Lytechinus pictus: one gene and its partner. The protein of the gene in region 1 interacts with the protein of each later gene in a pairwise test. Links are inferred from orthologs where the notes say so. Each region holds a gene or a part of one and is shown in the gene's direction. Other genes may lie near its edges.

What was found. The genes of interacting proteins can lie anywhere in the genome.
Region 2: the proteins of phytanoyl-CoA dioxygenase, peroxisomal-like (region 1) and peroxisomal targeting signal 2 receptor-like interact in a two-hybrid assay, tested with the Homo sapiens proteins (2 studies listed by BioGRID, with this or other methods). The link is inferred for Lytechinus pictus from reciprocal best matches to the Homo sapiens genes PHYH and PEX7.

What each region holds. Positions count from the first base shown.
Region 1 is NC_087251.1:22,709,577-22,717,511, reverse strand, and holds the start of phytanoyl-CoA dioxygenase, peroxisomal-like, read left to right. Parts: upstream 1-4,931; 5' UTR 4,932-4,994; coding exon 4,995-5,072; intron 5,073-7,935. UniProt on the Homo sapiens protein: Catalyzes the 2-hydroxylation of not only racemic phytanoyl-CoA and the isomers of 3-methylhexadecanoyl-CoA, but also a variety of other mono-branched 3-methylacyl-CoA esters (with a chain length of at least seven carbon atoms) and straight-chain acyl-CoA esters (with a chain length longer than four carbon atoms).
Region 2 is NC_087248.1:6,724,456-6,731,749, reverse strand, and holds the start of peroxisomal targeting signal 2 receptor-like, read left to right. Parts: upstream 1-4,286; 5' UTR 4,287-4,678; intron 4,679-7,294. UniProt on the Homo sapiens protein: Receptor required for the peroxisomal import of proteins containing a C-terminal PTS2-type peroxisomal targeting signal. Specifically binds to cargo proteins containing a PTS2 peroxisomal targeting signal in the cytosol.

The sequences.
Region 1 (7,935 bases):
TTGAATGCTCCAATCTTCATTGTCTAAGTATGTATGATGCATAATTTACTTGTGCTATTATTTTGAAAAGATGTATTCCCCAATTTATCACAATATTTGCAATTTTGTCATAATTTTTCTTTTTGAAAATTATGCTATTTTGTGACTAAGGCTACGTCTCGTCTGCTCTTTTTACCAATAGTATCGATATCAAGGTATTCTAGTTAGGAAGCCTTTCGTGAAACAGGTATAGTAAGATTGGAACTAACTCCGTGGTTGGTGGATAAAGATATGACTAACTTGTCCAGGTGTTGAGAAACGGGCCCCGGGGCGCGAAATTATTTTTCCCACCGAGTTCTGGACCAACATATGAATATTCATGAATTGCGTCTTCGGATTAAGAGTACGCATGCGCGTGGACTTTGCCTCGACCAGTGCCGGTCGTAAGCATTCACGTTTAGTTGCTCAGAATGAATTAGCATCGTCAAATTACCGGTTACATAGGCCTCACAGGCTTAGATCTATATATATAGCAACGTATTTGTTTTTGTGTCAATATGGTTTCAAGAAATAATAATTAATAAGAAAAATAATAATGGTATAATTAATAATTATTAATATTATCAGTAAGTATTAATGATTGATTAACTGCTTAAAAAAATAATTAAGATTTACCCTCTCCTAACTAAGGGTATGTGGTGCGCCCTGTTTCTTTTATAACCTTTTGAATATAACTTTATTATTTTGTTAGTATTCTTTATTCTGTTTTTTAAGGTATAATAAGTGTAGAAGATACAAGAAATGAGAATTAAAATATAAAAGTGGTTGTAAGCAGAAAAAATATGAAAACTGACAAGAGTCCTAAAAATGATTCATTTTCAGTTTAAGCATTTGAAAATTTTAGCTTGCGCTTTGTGCTCTCTTGTCCCCCCCCCCCTAAATAAAAATTCCCTGTAGGATTTTTTTTTTCAAATGAAATATGCCCTTTTTTTAAAGGAAATATACCTTATTTAATAATAAAACATAATACATTTTAGGTTCGAAAATCACAGATTTTGAATCGTGCTTGCATCAATTATTGTTTAGTACATGCAGTACTAATCCTGCTCATGGTTACAAAAATGTATAAAATGTTGCTTTATGGTTGGAATATCACAAATTTTTGGCTTGCTTCCTGCACTCGCATCAATTATTGTACTCGTTCTCTTTCCGTTCACAAAAAAAATGCTGAGAATGTCCAGTTTTCAGGTTGGAATATCACAAATTTTTGAGCTCGCGTTTTGCGCTCGCATTATTTTTATTGGTGAGTATGTATCCTATTTAAAATGCAGTAATTAACTGCTTCCTTTACTGGTCAGTATATCAAAAAAATTTAGCTAGCGTAAAGTTATTTTTTAGTTAGATAGACATCTTTTTCATGATTACAAAACCAGCTCAGAATATTTAATTTCCATGTCTTATTACACGACATGTCAAGAAGTTTTAGCTGGTGGTTTGCGCTGGCAACATTGCGCAAGGATGCTTAGCCCCATAATTGACCATAAATCAAGTTTTACAACTTCAGAATTGATTTTTTTTTCAAAACCGCTTGCTCGCAAGGCTTTGTCACTGAGAAGCAAAACCTAAATCAAAATATATATCTCATAATTAAAAATCATTTTAGAAAGCCTTTGTTCAACTTAATTTCTACAAAACACACAATTACTTCACGCAGTTCATAATCTCATTTTGAAAATACATGTAATCGCCTAGAAAAATTATGGATTATGTGTACACAGGTAACTATAATTATTTTAATATATCTCCATCATGAAATTATTTTTGTTTTAAATGTGCAAAGGTTAATTTTTTTCTTGCTCAGTCCCCTCGCTCACATACATTTTACTATGTGTGTTGTCTGCCGCCTAAGTATTGTTAGTTCATTGTTCTGTATATCGTAAATTTGAAATGCCTTGGCCGTGAGGTTTTCAGGCCTTGGCCTTGGGTTTCCACGCCGTGGCCTTTGGTATTGAAGCCTTGGCCTTGGAGGTTTGAGCCTTGACTACAACGCTGAATAGCCGACTAATGCCAATATGCCATGGTTAAATTCGAACTGGTTAATACCGAACTTTACGTTTAATTAGGTTTAGACAAATGTTAGCTTATTTTCCATGGTTTGTCTAGTCCGTATACAAAACCAGTCCTAGGTCTAAAAAAATTATCTTAGTTCGAGTCTAGTCTCTAGATCTAGACTCTGATCTACGCTGTATCAGCATGGAACCACTAGTTTACCAAGGGGGGGGGGGCAGACTGCCCCTCTGACGAATCACAACTGATTCAGGGGACGTGCCCCCCCCACTGAGAAATATCCTCCAAAAAATTTTCCCCCCTTTTGGAAAATCTTAGGTACGCCAGTGCATCAGTGGCGTAGCTACGGGGGGTGCAGGGGGCACGTGCCCCCCTGAGAATCGGTGTGCACCCCCCCCCCCCACAAAAAAAATTGGCAGAGCAAAAAAAGGGGAAAGAAGAAAAGAAAAAAGAAAAGAAGAATAAAGACAGAAGAAAACAAAAGAAGAGGAAAATAAGGGGAGGAAGGCGAGTGAATGAAATAATGTGAGGGGAAGACTTGAAAAAAAAATATTTCATGTTACTATGCTTGCGCTTTGTGCCAGAATTGCCTGTTCGATGAGATTCATATCTTGCTCAATAGGCTGATATGGAACAAATTTTTAAATCAATATAAAAAACATATTTTAGCTCGGACTTCGTTCGAGCTTTCATTATTTTTTTTTATTTACAAATTTAAGTGCTCTGTAAAATGTCCATTTTATGGTCTACATATTTTAAGCTCATGCTGCGTGGCCACATTGTTTGATTTGCCAAGTTCAAAATGTCTACGTGTATTCCATAATGTTCCATTAAACAAATGTATTCAGAATGCCCAGATTCTAGGTCTAAATCTAAAACATGCGCGATAGCCTGCATGTTCTTTATTTAAAATGTACTTAAATTATCCAGTTTCACATCAGAATATCAAGAATGTCTGCTCACGCTTTACAATCGCATTATTAATGATACCAATTAACTATATCATATTTATGATTACAAAAATGAATAGAGTGTCCTGCTTTAAGGTCTAAAATCTCAAATTTCTTCCTCTCGCACTTCGCGCTCGCATCAATTGTTTAGTTACATACATATCCCATTTATTAATACAAAAAGTGCTTAGATTGTATCGTTAGAATGGAGAATCTATTTATAGTGCAATTTGTTTGCAATTTTAAGCTTAACAGCACTGTAAGTTCTTAAATGGCGTAAAAGATAACAAAATCCCAATCTAAAAAATGTAAAATTTCAGTAACAAACTACTAACGTACAATAAATGCTGCACATTATTCAAAATCCATGTCATTTTCACAAAAATTTGCAGAGTTGTAGAGAAAGGTATACCTAAGAGATACAAACATTAAAAAATAGGGGTTCATGTGCTTGTTTTTAAACTATCAGCATTTTTATTAGAGCAAATGTGCTTTTTAAAACACCAAAAATGCGCCGAATGCTTTGTATCTATGTGAAGAAAAAATCAAAACCACTCTATCATTTATTCGATCTCGGGGTAATATTCGTGATTCTTGGCAGCACTGCAGAGTAAAGTATTTTGAAATCGTAGAGAATTTATTTTTTGAATGGTTAATGGAATAATTCCATTTTTAGCTTCATGAAATAACACATCAGATCTGCAGTTAAAGTGCAGGAGATGAGAAAAATCAGCTTCAAACCCAGAGCTAATTAATCACCTGTTCATCCATTGTGACGTCAGCGCGTAGAGTGTAAACTATGCGCAGATCATAATGCGCACAAACATAACTGTGCAACGTCCTTAAGGGTACCGGTAATTTGACGATGCTAATTCATTCTGAGCAACGTGAATGCTTACGACCGGCACTAGCTGGTCGAGGCGCAAGTCCACGCGCATGCGTACTCTCAAACCGAAGACGCAAGTCATGAATATTCATATGTTGGTCCAGAACTCGGTGGGAAAAATAATTTCGCCCCCGGGGCCTCTTGACATCTGAACTGAATTATATATTCATGAGGAACGTCGTCCTAATGAATATACATGAGTCATGATATTACCGGTCACCGAGTAAACCAATGAAATGTCAGAGCTGTTTCGTCTTGGGTTCGGAATTACTATATAATAGTCCACTATTCTGCAGGGGATTCATTTAATTGCGGGACACTAAAGGGGATATAACCAGCAAAATGTAGTGGTACTACTACTACTACTATTACTACTGGCCGTAACAGACCCATCACCGCCCCGAAACTTCCCGGGAGATACTGCCCAGCCGCTGGTCAGACTCGAGTCAACTCCCAGCAACTCCACCCCAGCTTCCCTCACTGCACTGCACAGCGGAGATCGATAATCGACGCCCCGGATCGACCGGTGGAATCGCATGAAATATTACATTTTTTCCATATCCTGTGGGTAGATTTACAAAGACATCTCGTCCTTTCACTGCAGAGTTAATTTCATCGACTTGCAAATCCTTAAATCGGTAAATATTCAGCGTTTTAGAGGCATATTCAGTGCTCTTTGATATTTCGTCGTCACTCTTCGCCAAGAATCAAAGGGTCGCCATTCAAGAGGAGCTCATGAATATTTAATATGACGTCATAGCAGCTCGCGCTCTCATTGGATGATTTTCACCGACCAGTTTTTGGTCGGTGAATTGGTAAAAACAACAAAAACCAAAAGAAAGTCGGTGAAATTCGGCACAGATGTCAAGAGGCCCTGTCTCGCGGCGCTCTGCTCCCTCTGCTTCGCTCTCTCCCGTGCCATGTTCGCTCGGAAAGCAGCCGACAGGGCCTCGACAAGAGGCTAGGTATTCACCCCCATACCGTATTCAACAGGCTTGAAAATAAGGTAAAATGGCAATGGTGGCTTTCCATAACATTACGTTCGCAGCGCGCGGTATACGTACGTACGTATCAAAACTGTATTAAAAAGCTCCTGTGCAGTCTTCACAAACATGGACTCGATGGAGGAGCGGACTCTGAAACGCCTGAAAATCTTTAATCGGCATTTATCACTGCCTGTAGCATGTTTAGTAAGTCAGTGGAAGTGTTATTATTGACAAATATGATAGTATAGAGTCTTTACGGTCAAGGCTACTTGAACTGTTGAATATGGTTCACAATCACATTTCGTTCTCGTGGATGGACGATTAACGTTAATTCGCAAGGCCTTGACTTCGGACTCTTAGCCCGGGAGGGGGGGGGGGGCACTCAGTATATGCTTGGTGGGTACGGTATGTGCCGCGGAGGGGAGCCCCATTTTTTACGCTCTTATTTCCGTTCCAATTTGTTGTTTTTCTGTTTCAGTCATGAAAAAGAAAAATGGCAATAGCTCTGTCTGTGCCTGGTTCTGTTTTTAAAAACATGAAAAGCAAATTGCAACACGCTTTTTAAATTTTAGACAATTTATTTTTATTTTACACACGTATTGCGAGGTTATTATTACTACTACTAGTATAATTAGTAAGCTTTTAGCTCTGTCATGACGTCTGTCTAAATTGACGTCGACCCGCTGATTTGCTTTCGCTCACCAAATATGCAATATTGAACTATAATTATAAAGAGCATCACTCATCAGGCATCTTGAAACTATGAAATTGAAAGCGCCATATTTCATATAGAGTCTACTACTCTACTCTAATTATCTAGATAGAATTCAAAGTAGTCTAACGACGTACATAAAACACTGTTTAGCATGTTTAGTAGAAATAGGTTCTAACGTTAGGTCTAGATTAGACAGGAATAACCGTCGTTTCTGGGGATTTATTCAACAATTTCTGACATTTTACTGTAATCCCCATTTACCGACGGTAGGGTGTACGTGTGGGCTCGCATGTGTTCTCATTCCCTCCCTTTTGTCAATTCACAGTCCAAAGTTTGATGTAATTTTACACATCGAATTTACAATCTAAGGATGTATAAACAACAAACTTTTAGACCTTGATATTTCAATGTTTTAATACTTTAAACGATATAGATGAAAAAGGCATGAAAAATATACTTTACTGATGTTTAATTGGGTTGAACACGATAAAAATGGTCAAAATGGCAGCCAAACTATAAAATATTTACGAACGAACGTCAACAATCACGAATGTGATATCGATATTGCTTTCGATATTATACGATCTGCTCCATATGCGAACGAAACCGAAGATAAACGATACTAGTTATACTAGTACTAGTACTAGTTATAATCGCGATATATCGATTCGAGACATTAAGTTAATAACGATAATGACGTCATTCAAGATGGCAACTTGCAAGAAAAACCGTCAGGTCAGGTGAAAATGTCTTAGATGACAGATTTCTCAATCATCCAGAGGATTTTTTTCAATAACTCCAGCCCAAGGTATGCAATTACTTAAGTTTTTTATATTTCCCTGATAATGGAAACCATGAAACTTTCAATTTTGCTTAAAAAACAGTTTTAAATCGCGATCTATAAAACGCTAGTTCACTATACGTTGGCTGTAGGTACGGGGCCCCATCCCCTTCAGTCTATGTATGGTGAGTGGAGCCAACGTAGTTCAGCGGAACAACCAAAATACAGAGACTGAAGCTTTTGGTCTAGGTCTAGATCTACACACTGGCAAGTCATCGGTGTCGATCTGTATTCATGGTTGGGGGTAGAGTGGTAGACAGCTGGCAGCCGTCTGTTTCGAGGAGTTTTTCAATATTTATTTTTTATTTCTCCTCGAGTCGTACACAGACGGCTCGCGATCATGCAGCCGCAATTAGGGGGTTAACAATGCAAAATCTTCCTGACCGGGCTCATCAATTTTTTTTCTTTATTTCATAAAAATATATAAAAAGAACTGGACCAAAATAAAGATTATTATTCCGTTTTGGCCTGAAATGCACCAAAACAGGAAAAATATAAACTTAAAAGAAACAAAAAACTGACTTACTTCGGCTGTCGCTCAACTCCCACTTCCCTGGTTTATCAGAACTTTATACATATGGCCATTGAGTCCCTGTACAGATCGAGTTAGAACTAACCTTCGGTCTCTGTAATTGGTGAGTGGAGCCAACGGAGTTCAGCTGAACAACCAATATAGCAAAGACCGAAGCTTTTGGTCTAGGTTGGGAACTTGGGCCTTTTGGGGGCTGTTTTCTTCTCTTTCAAGAGGGCTGCTCTCCCTGCCATCAGAATGATGCAGCCCCCTGTTGGATCCCATATGATTTAAAGTCAGAAGCTTGGATTTTACTTGCACTCAGCGTAGCATGTTTTACTGTACATATGCAATATTGGTATGTCTATCCATCACCATATCTGCACTTCATGACACTCCTTCCAGTGGCTCACTTTATTCATCATCCCAGTATAGCTTCTGTATGAGCTGCCAAAGGGATTACTACTACAATTTACAACAAGTATCTTGTGAGGGATTTTTTAATCTTTTAATTTTAGTTTGGATGGAGGTCAGTGGCGTAATGAGTCTAAAGTTTTAGATGCAAGACATGACAAAGGGCAAAATTAATTTTAAAATGCTGTGAGCGAGGGAAGCGAGAGAGCTAAATTTTCAATACATTTTATAGATAAAATATTTGCAACGGATTTTGATATGATATATGTCTTAAACCTGTCAAAACAAATTGATTTATGTATTGAAAAGGCTATTTTTTGCTCGCTCGCTTCCCTTGCACACAACAATTTCAAAATTTTGCCCTTTTGTCATGTCTTGGCCCTAAGACTTCTGACTCATTACGCGACTGACCTCTGCCCAAACTAGACTAGAAATAGAAAAATAACAAAATTCCCTCACAAGAGAACAAAACATCCCCCAACCATGAATAGGCTACCAATCGACACCCATGGCTTGCCAGTGTGCTATAACGGTGGTTTACTTTGAATTATATCGAGAAAGCTATGAAATATGGCACTTTCAACAT
Region 2 (7,294 bases), on another chromosome or scaffold:
TTCTGGTCGCCATGTCAGGTTTCCTGCCAAGTACGTTCAATTTTTCGGAGACGGTTGAAACATTTCTCAAAATTAACTGATGTTTCCACTCCTTTTATTTTCTTGTTTTATATAGCCAAGTTCACTTTTACTTTCCCTTGTCGATTTGTTACTACATTTCTATTCGGTACAAATCTAGGGGGGAGCTACTGTAGTGACTTGACTATATCTTTTTATATATCTACATCTATATATTCTTTCCTTGTATATATTTTCATTTATATTTCAACATTCTGTATATGTATATAAATTCTTTCTTTTATTTCCAATTTCATATATTCTCACTTGTTCACGCCATGTGTATTTACTACAATACTGTACATTCACAGAGCAAGCCAACTCATTTTCTGTCCAAATCTACTTGGCAAACACATTCTTATATTGAGAAACAACCTTTCTTTTGTTCCTAGACTTGGAGCAAACATCCTTTCATTGTTCCTTGTTTATTGCAATAAACTTGCAGGTATACAACATCACTACAGAGATGCTCGCATGTTTGCTTTTCTCACAGTCTGCTTCTCTCCTCTTTGTTCTTCTCAACTGTGTTTTGTCCTCTTTTTGGCGCTTATTTCTTTGTCTCATCTTTTCTGATGTTGGTAAAAACAACTTGTTTTCTCTACCACATCATCACTCTACTCTCTGCCTTCGTCCTGTCCACTCATGCTGACCATCTCATCCAGCTGCTAGTGAGGATTGAATCAAATCTTGTGGAGGATCAGCTTATACTTAATTATTTCTCTGCATTTTCCAATCTTATTCCTTACCGTCACTTCCACTCATTCGAAGTCTATATCCTCTGCATATTTAATGAGCTCATTACTTCGCGAGACATTTTGTGACATCTGTCCCTTTTTTCTAATCTATTTGAAATTGTGAAGTGTATATATTTCTATTCACGGATTTGTGCAATTTACCTGAGATTCTGAGCGGCTGGACCCCATTCTATCTTCTGGCGAGCAAGAATTAAGGTAGGACCTAACTTTTATATAAATATTAGGAGATTGTATAGCCAATTTCCTAAACCCCCTTTATAATGATATAAATCTTCTCTTCAACCTCGTGGTGATAGCGGACCCCGCCATAAACTTTTAAAGACTGTACTCAAGGCTCGACATTAGCGGTGGCCCGGTGGCCCGGGGCCACCAAAAATTCACCTCGGGCAACCATTATTGATAAAATGTTAAGTTTTGGTGGCCCGAATCGGGCCACCAATAATTTTCAAAGTAGCGCAATTTTTCTCCCAATTTTGCACGCATTTATCAACTTTCTACAGCTCAAATTGCAAGCCAGTTCGTCATGCGCCCTTTTTGTTGATCTACACACAAATACACACACACAAAGTTTGCATATTAGGCCTACAGCTATAGCATTCAGTAGCTATTATCCAGCCAGACGCACCGGCCGGCTGGCGTGAGCTTTGCATGAAGCCACTGCATACAGCTGTGCTCTAGATCTAGCTCAGCCTATTCAGACTCGGGGAGCTGCGATAAAAAATGTTGCTGCTGAGAAATCTTCCACAGAACTTTGAAAATCTCAGTCAAAGTCACATTTTACACCAATGAAATGCAATTCTACAGTCTATATTACGAAAATCTGGTGGACCCTGATTATTTGCAAGTATTAAGAAGAGGAATTATGACCTCTCTTTTGACTCAAAAAGACCGATTTCCACATGAATTAATACACATAAAAACACATAGGCAAGTACATCACAGTCCCACGTGTGCATTTGTATGTATGTTGATACTTGGTTTCTTTCGAAGCTGTGTATTTTCTAGCCAAAAACAAACAGTTTCTTTCTTTCTTGTTTATAAATGACTTCTTAAACCACTCTTGAGAAAGTAAATACTTTGGGAAGGCATTTCATTGATATGAAATGTGATTTTTTCCCCAACATTTTGGCAAATATAGGGAAGGACTTTTCTCACACTTTTTATCCAGAATCACCAGATATAATTTTTGCCGTTTTCATATTTTTTTTCCTTTCATTTTTTTGACAGTGGTTAAACCATTTATACCCCTTCCCATTGAATATGCCTGATTAAAAAATATGTTTCTACTGAAAATGAAATAATACAAACTAAAGGATATAAAAATAAAAATGTGCCATTCCCAAAAAGTAAGTGAAAATTATTTGCTTGGCTTTAAATAATTATATTCCAGTCAGAATAGACTGTTGCCACAGCTGTTTAAAAATATATGTAATGGCTTCTTAATTTTCCCCTTTTCCCCATTTTTTTATTAAGTTTGTTTTATTAATTTTTCTTTCATTTTCTTTTCTTTTTTCTCTCTAATTTTTTTCTTTTCTATTTTTCTTTTTTTCCCTGTTCTTTGTTTTTTTCTTTCTTCATTTTCTTTCTTTTGTTTTATTTCACTAATTTCTTTTATTATTTTTGTTTTCTTTTTGTAATATACTTTATGAAAATTATTTTCGTTTGTTTCCCCCTTTTATGCATTGTTCTAATTTTGCAGCATATTTTTCTGTGATTTTCTCCTTCTATAATATGCTGCAAAAGAGAAAACAGAAATAAACTGGATTTGGGGCATGCATAATCTAGGTTTTAGGATTCAAAGAGGAAGGAAGGAAAAACCATTGTTTTGTACATGTATCTATCTGAATTTGCTATGCACTATTTATTTACTTTACCATTATCTCTATACAGAGATTTTAAAAAAAGTCCACACAACCTGCGAACAATACAATTCATTTATTCTCTTTCAATCATTTCATGTTTACCATGATAGAAACATTTATCAATTAGCAAAGTAAAATAACAGCGAACAAGGTTTACATACAAGATGTATAAAGTAAAAGTAACATAGTGGTACTGGTAGTGGCTGCAGAATTAATATTTCGGAAGTTTGTTTTATTCATTTTTAATGTTTTTCTTTATATTTTTCGGGCCACCAAACTTTAATATCGGGCCACCAAAAAAAATCATATAATGGTTTTGGTGGCCCGAACGGGCCACCACCAAAAAAAGTTAATGTGGAGCCTTGCTGTACTATTGACGGAGCTTATTGCGTTACTCTCTTACATCGTTTATGATGATATACATTTTATTTTTAATCTCGTGGTGATAGCGGATGCCGCCTTGAACTTTTAAAGGTCGTATTACCGACGGAGCTCACTGCGCTACTCTCTTACCCCCTTTTTTGATGATAGACATCTTCTCTTCAACCTCGTGGTGATAGCGGACCCCGCCGTGAACTTCAAATTGATTTGAAAACGCTAGCTACCCAAAACATTTTAATAACATATTTCAAATCATCGTGCGTGCTTGCGTCTTCTACTTCATTTTAATTGCACTTGCGACTTTAAGATGATGCGTCGTAAGAGATCATTCCAATAATTCTAAATCGCTAGCACCTAAAAATACTTCTAAAAGATGTCCCGCCGATCGTTCATTAACCTGTGATCTATGAGAAATATTTTCATTTTATTTTCCTTTGCGCCTTTGCTCGGAAGATGCGTCTTTCGTTTATCTTTCTAATAAAAATCACTCGGTTTATTTTAAAGCAATAACACCTCAAAACCCCTTGCTTTAAAACATGTTCCAAATGATCGCGCATGTTCAATGTTGGCGACTTCCATTCCAATGCATTCGTCTTTGTGACTTTGTCAGGAAGATGCACACGACCGCGAACAACATTTTGATGTCATTATTCCTTTGTTTTTAAACATCGCCGATTCGATTTTCGATTCGATTTCGATTTTAGAAGCTTAACTGCCGATCCGATTTTCGATCTGATTTTTGATCCGATTTACAACATTAGGCCTATACAATATCATACAATTCATAGAGAACAAATATTGATGATGATTAGCACTAATCAATGCACAGTTTTTGTTTAATCCAAAGACAAAAAAGAAGGCTTCGTTTTTGTTACGTGTCCGGACACCCAACCCCCCATCCTACTCGTCTAGTCCTTCATCCAAGCCAGCGCGCGCCTGTACTTACCCAGCACAAGTCGTGCAAGATCCGAAGGGAGTGCTCTCACGTTAACCATTTTCTAATTTCAATTTTCACATTTATCAACAGCACGTCCAGTTTGCCGACTATGACATGGTGAGTCCTCTGCCTTACCTTGAAGGATGGATTATACAGTAAATCGATAAAACGACACCTGAAAGCGAGGAACTATTGGATTTCAGAGTTTGTTTATGTTTTATATTTCTCGCGGCGAAGTTTCAATTTTGCAGCAATCGCGCGAAATCCTTTTGCCATCCACTTCCGGTAAGGGTCAGCAGCTGTGTGACCTTTCAGATTATGCAATGAAGGTGTTTTGGCCCGCGGCTGCGATCTTGTACAATTTTACTAGGGACAGGACAGTCAATTTGTATACACATTAGACTTAGTATGAGTCACTGGAGTGAAGTTAAGCATTTCAAAAGTCTACTTCTTTCGGCTTACCTTTGCAAGCTAATGACGAAATTCCAAAGATAAATCACCACGTGTACGTGACTGCGACTTTTTTGCGGGGTTTTAAATTCTGGCAGAAAGCTCAGCAGCAACGAGAAACCGAACTCGGCGTCCCAGGGGCCGGGCCCGGTGCCAGTACAACAGTAGACAGTCAGTAGTGTCGCTGGATGGACAATCGCAGGCGCAGTTCTGCAGCAGCTGTCTCATCTCATTTGGTAATGAACATTTTTGCACATTTTGGTTACAAATCTAGTATAATAGTAACAAGATCACTAACTTAATTCTTTAAAGGTCAAGAGCTAGAGACAAGATAGACAGCTGGCAGCCGTCTGTTTCGAGGAGTTTAAAAAAAAAAATTATTTTATAAACTTCTCCTCATACACAGTCTAGTCACAGACGGCTCGCTATCGTGCAGCCACCATTAGGGGACTTACAATGCAAAATACCCCCGTTGGGGCTCTTCAATTTTTGTCTTTAATGAATCAAACTTTTGAAAATTAACACGACCGAAATGCAAATTAATATTCCCTCTTGCCATTAATTGCCAAAAAACAGGGAAAATCAAGTTAAAAGGAACAAAAACAGTGACTTACCTCGGCTGTCGCGCAACTTCACTGCCCTGTTTTATCCGAACTTAATACACATAAACATATGGCCATTGATTCCCTGTACAGATTGCGCTAGAACTTCGGTCTCTGTATTTGGTGAGTGCATGAAGCCAACGGAGTTCAGGGGCCCGTTTCTCAACACCGTCATAAGTCTAACTTCTTGACTAAATCGGAGATAGTGAGCTACTTGTCCGCTAACCGTTTCACTAAGCCCTCTTTACCAAGATCGGGTACAACAACCTCACTAAATAGTTATGACACCTCCGAACCTGTCTTAACTTCTTTTTAATGACGTAGTGACATTACGTGGGTAGACTATGACATGCAAAAGTGCCTAGAAATTTTACAATTATAATCTTACGTAATCAATCATAGTGGTTGAAATTACATCACAAAACAAGTGGGTTAATGCATTCAATGATAATTATAATACAAAGAAACTATAAAAACTGTTGGTAAACGCCACAAAACCATTCATTTTGAAATAGTAAAATGATTTAATCGATAAAGATTCTACCACGTCAGGCCATCCATAACTGAACTCGTATTTGTTGTTTTCAGACCCTTATTAACAGTTGGATGAATTCTATCTCTAATTTATGCATATAATTTGTCCAATATCGTATCTTTCAGTATCAATGATTAAAAATGTTTCGTTAAACTACATTTTGATGACGTTTGGAATCGTAAAAGTCCGTATAATTATCATCATTTTACAAAGAAAACCGTTATGGTTTACTTTCGTAAACTATTAAAATTTGGTCTCCCGGGAGTATCCACCTCAACGTCCACAAGTGATTTTTTAGTCATGAAATGAATTATTCATAATTTAATTTTCTCTGCAATTGAATGCTCCAGTCTTCATGGTCTAAGTGTGTATGATGCATAATTCACCTGTGCTATTATTTTGAAAAGATTTATTTCCCAATTCATCATAATATTTGCAATTTTGTCATAATTTTTCTTTTTGAAAATCATGCTATTTTGTGACTAAGGCTACGTCTCGTCTGTTCTTTTTACCGATAGTATCGATATCAAGGTATTCTAGTTAGGAAGCCTTTCGAGAAACAGGTTTAGTAAGATTGGAACTAACTCCGTGGTTGGTGGATAAAGATATTACTAACTTGTTCATGTGTTGAGAAACGGGCCCCAGCTGAACAACCAACATAACAGAGACCGAAGCTTTTGGTCTAGAGACAAGACAAGTCCACCCCAGAAAAATGTTGATTTGAATAAATTAGAGTTTGATTCTATTTCTAGACTTTAAAAATTTAGTAGTATAAATAAATCCGATTTTGATGAAATTTTCAGTTTTACATGTATGCTTGTTGGATTTTTCTCTTTTTATTCAAATCAACTTTTTGTTGGGGTGGACTTGTCCTTTAACTGTCATCCTAAGATAAAATATTAAATGGAGATCCAGGGCCCAGGCTGCAGAAAAGGAGATGATAAAAAGAGAAATGCTTTGCCCCTTCATCAGTAGAGGCGCACAGCCAATTTGGGAGACTGTCTCCCATGTGGGACATCTGCAATATCAGAAACTTTTTACTTTTGTAAAGAATTTGGGTATCCAATTTCAGAGACAGTCTCCAGCTCCAGTTTGGCCTTTGCTGGGCTTTGGGAGACCAATTTCCTTGGTTTACATTCTTGACATTTGCTGCAAAAGGATTACCTTGGCAGCAAATGGAAATGTGATAAGCAGATTCCTCATGAAAAATTACCCCTTTTCATCGTCTACTTTTTTTTATAAGGTTTTTCGTTGTTATCTAAACAGAAAACAAATTATGTTCTTTTTTGTTTTGTTTCTTTTGTCTTTTAGATTTTTTCCTATATTGGAGAGAGTCCCCCACATTGGCTGTGCGCCTCTACTGCCCTTTCTAAATTCTAGTTGGCATTTGACTTGGTCTTATTTTCACCTATCCGATATACAAGGTTATAATTTTGTCCTAAACCCCTGGCCTGTGTAGTGAAATAACATTGGCAATGTTTGGCCTATTTTCTCTTGTTCTAAGACTAAGGGATGAACATGATAATTAATTGATATTGAGTGTCAGTTGCTATTACAGTTATTAATCATATAACATGGCCCTAGCCAGGCCTAAGTTAATTTGAATTCTTCTCTATCTTTTCTAAATTAAAAAGAGAGTAAGGGATTGTCCAATCCTGACTTTCACCAATACTAGAGGGTCTCACAAAAATATGTTAAAAAGTTTTTTAGCACTC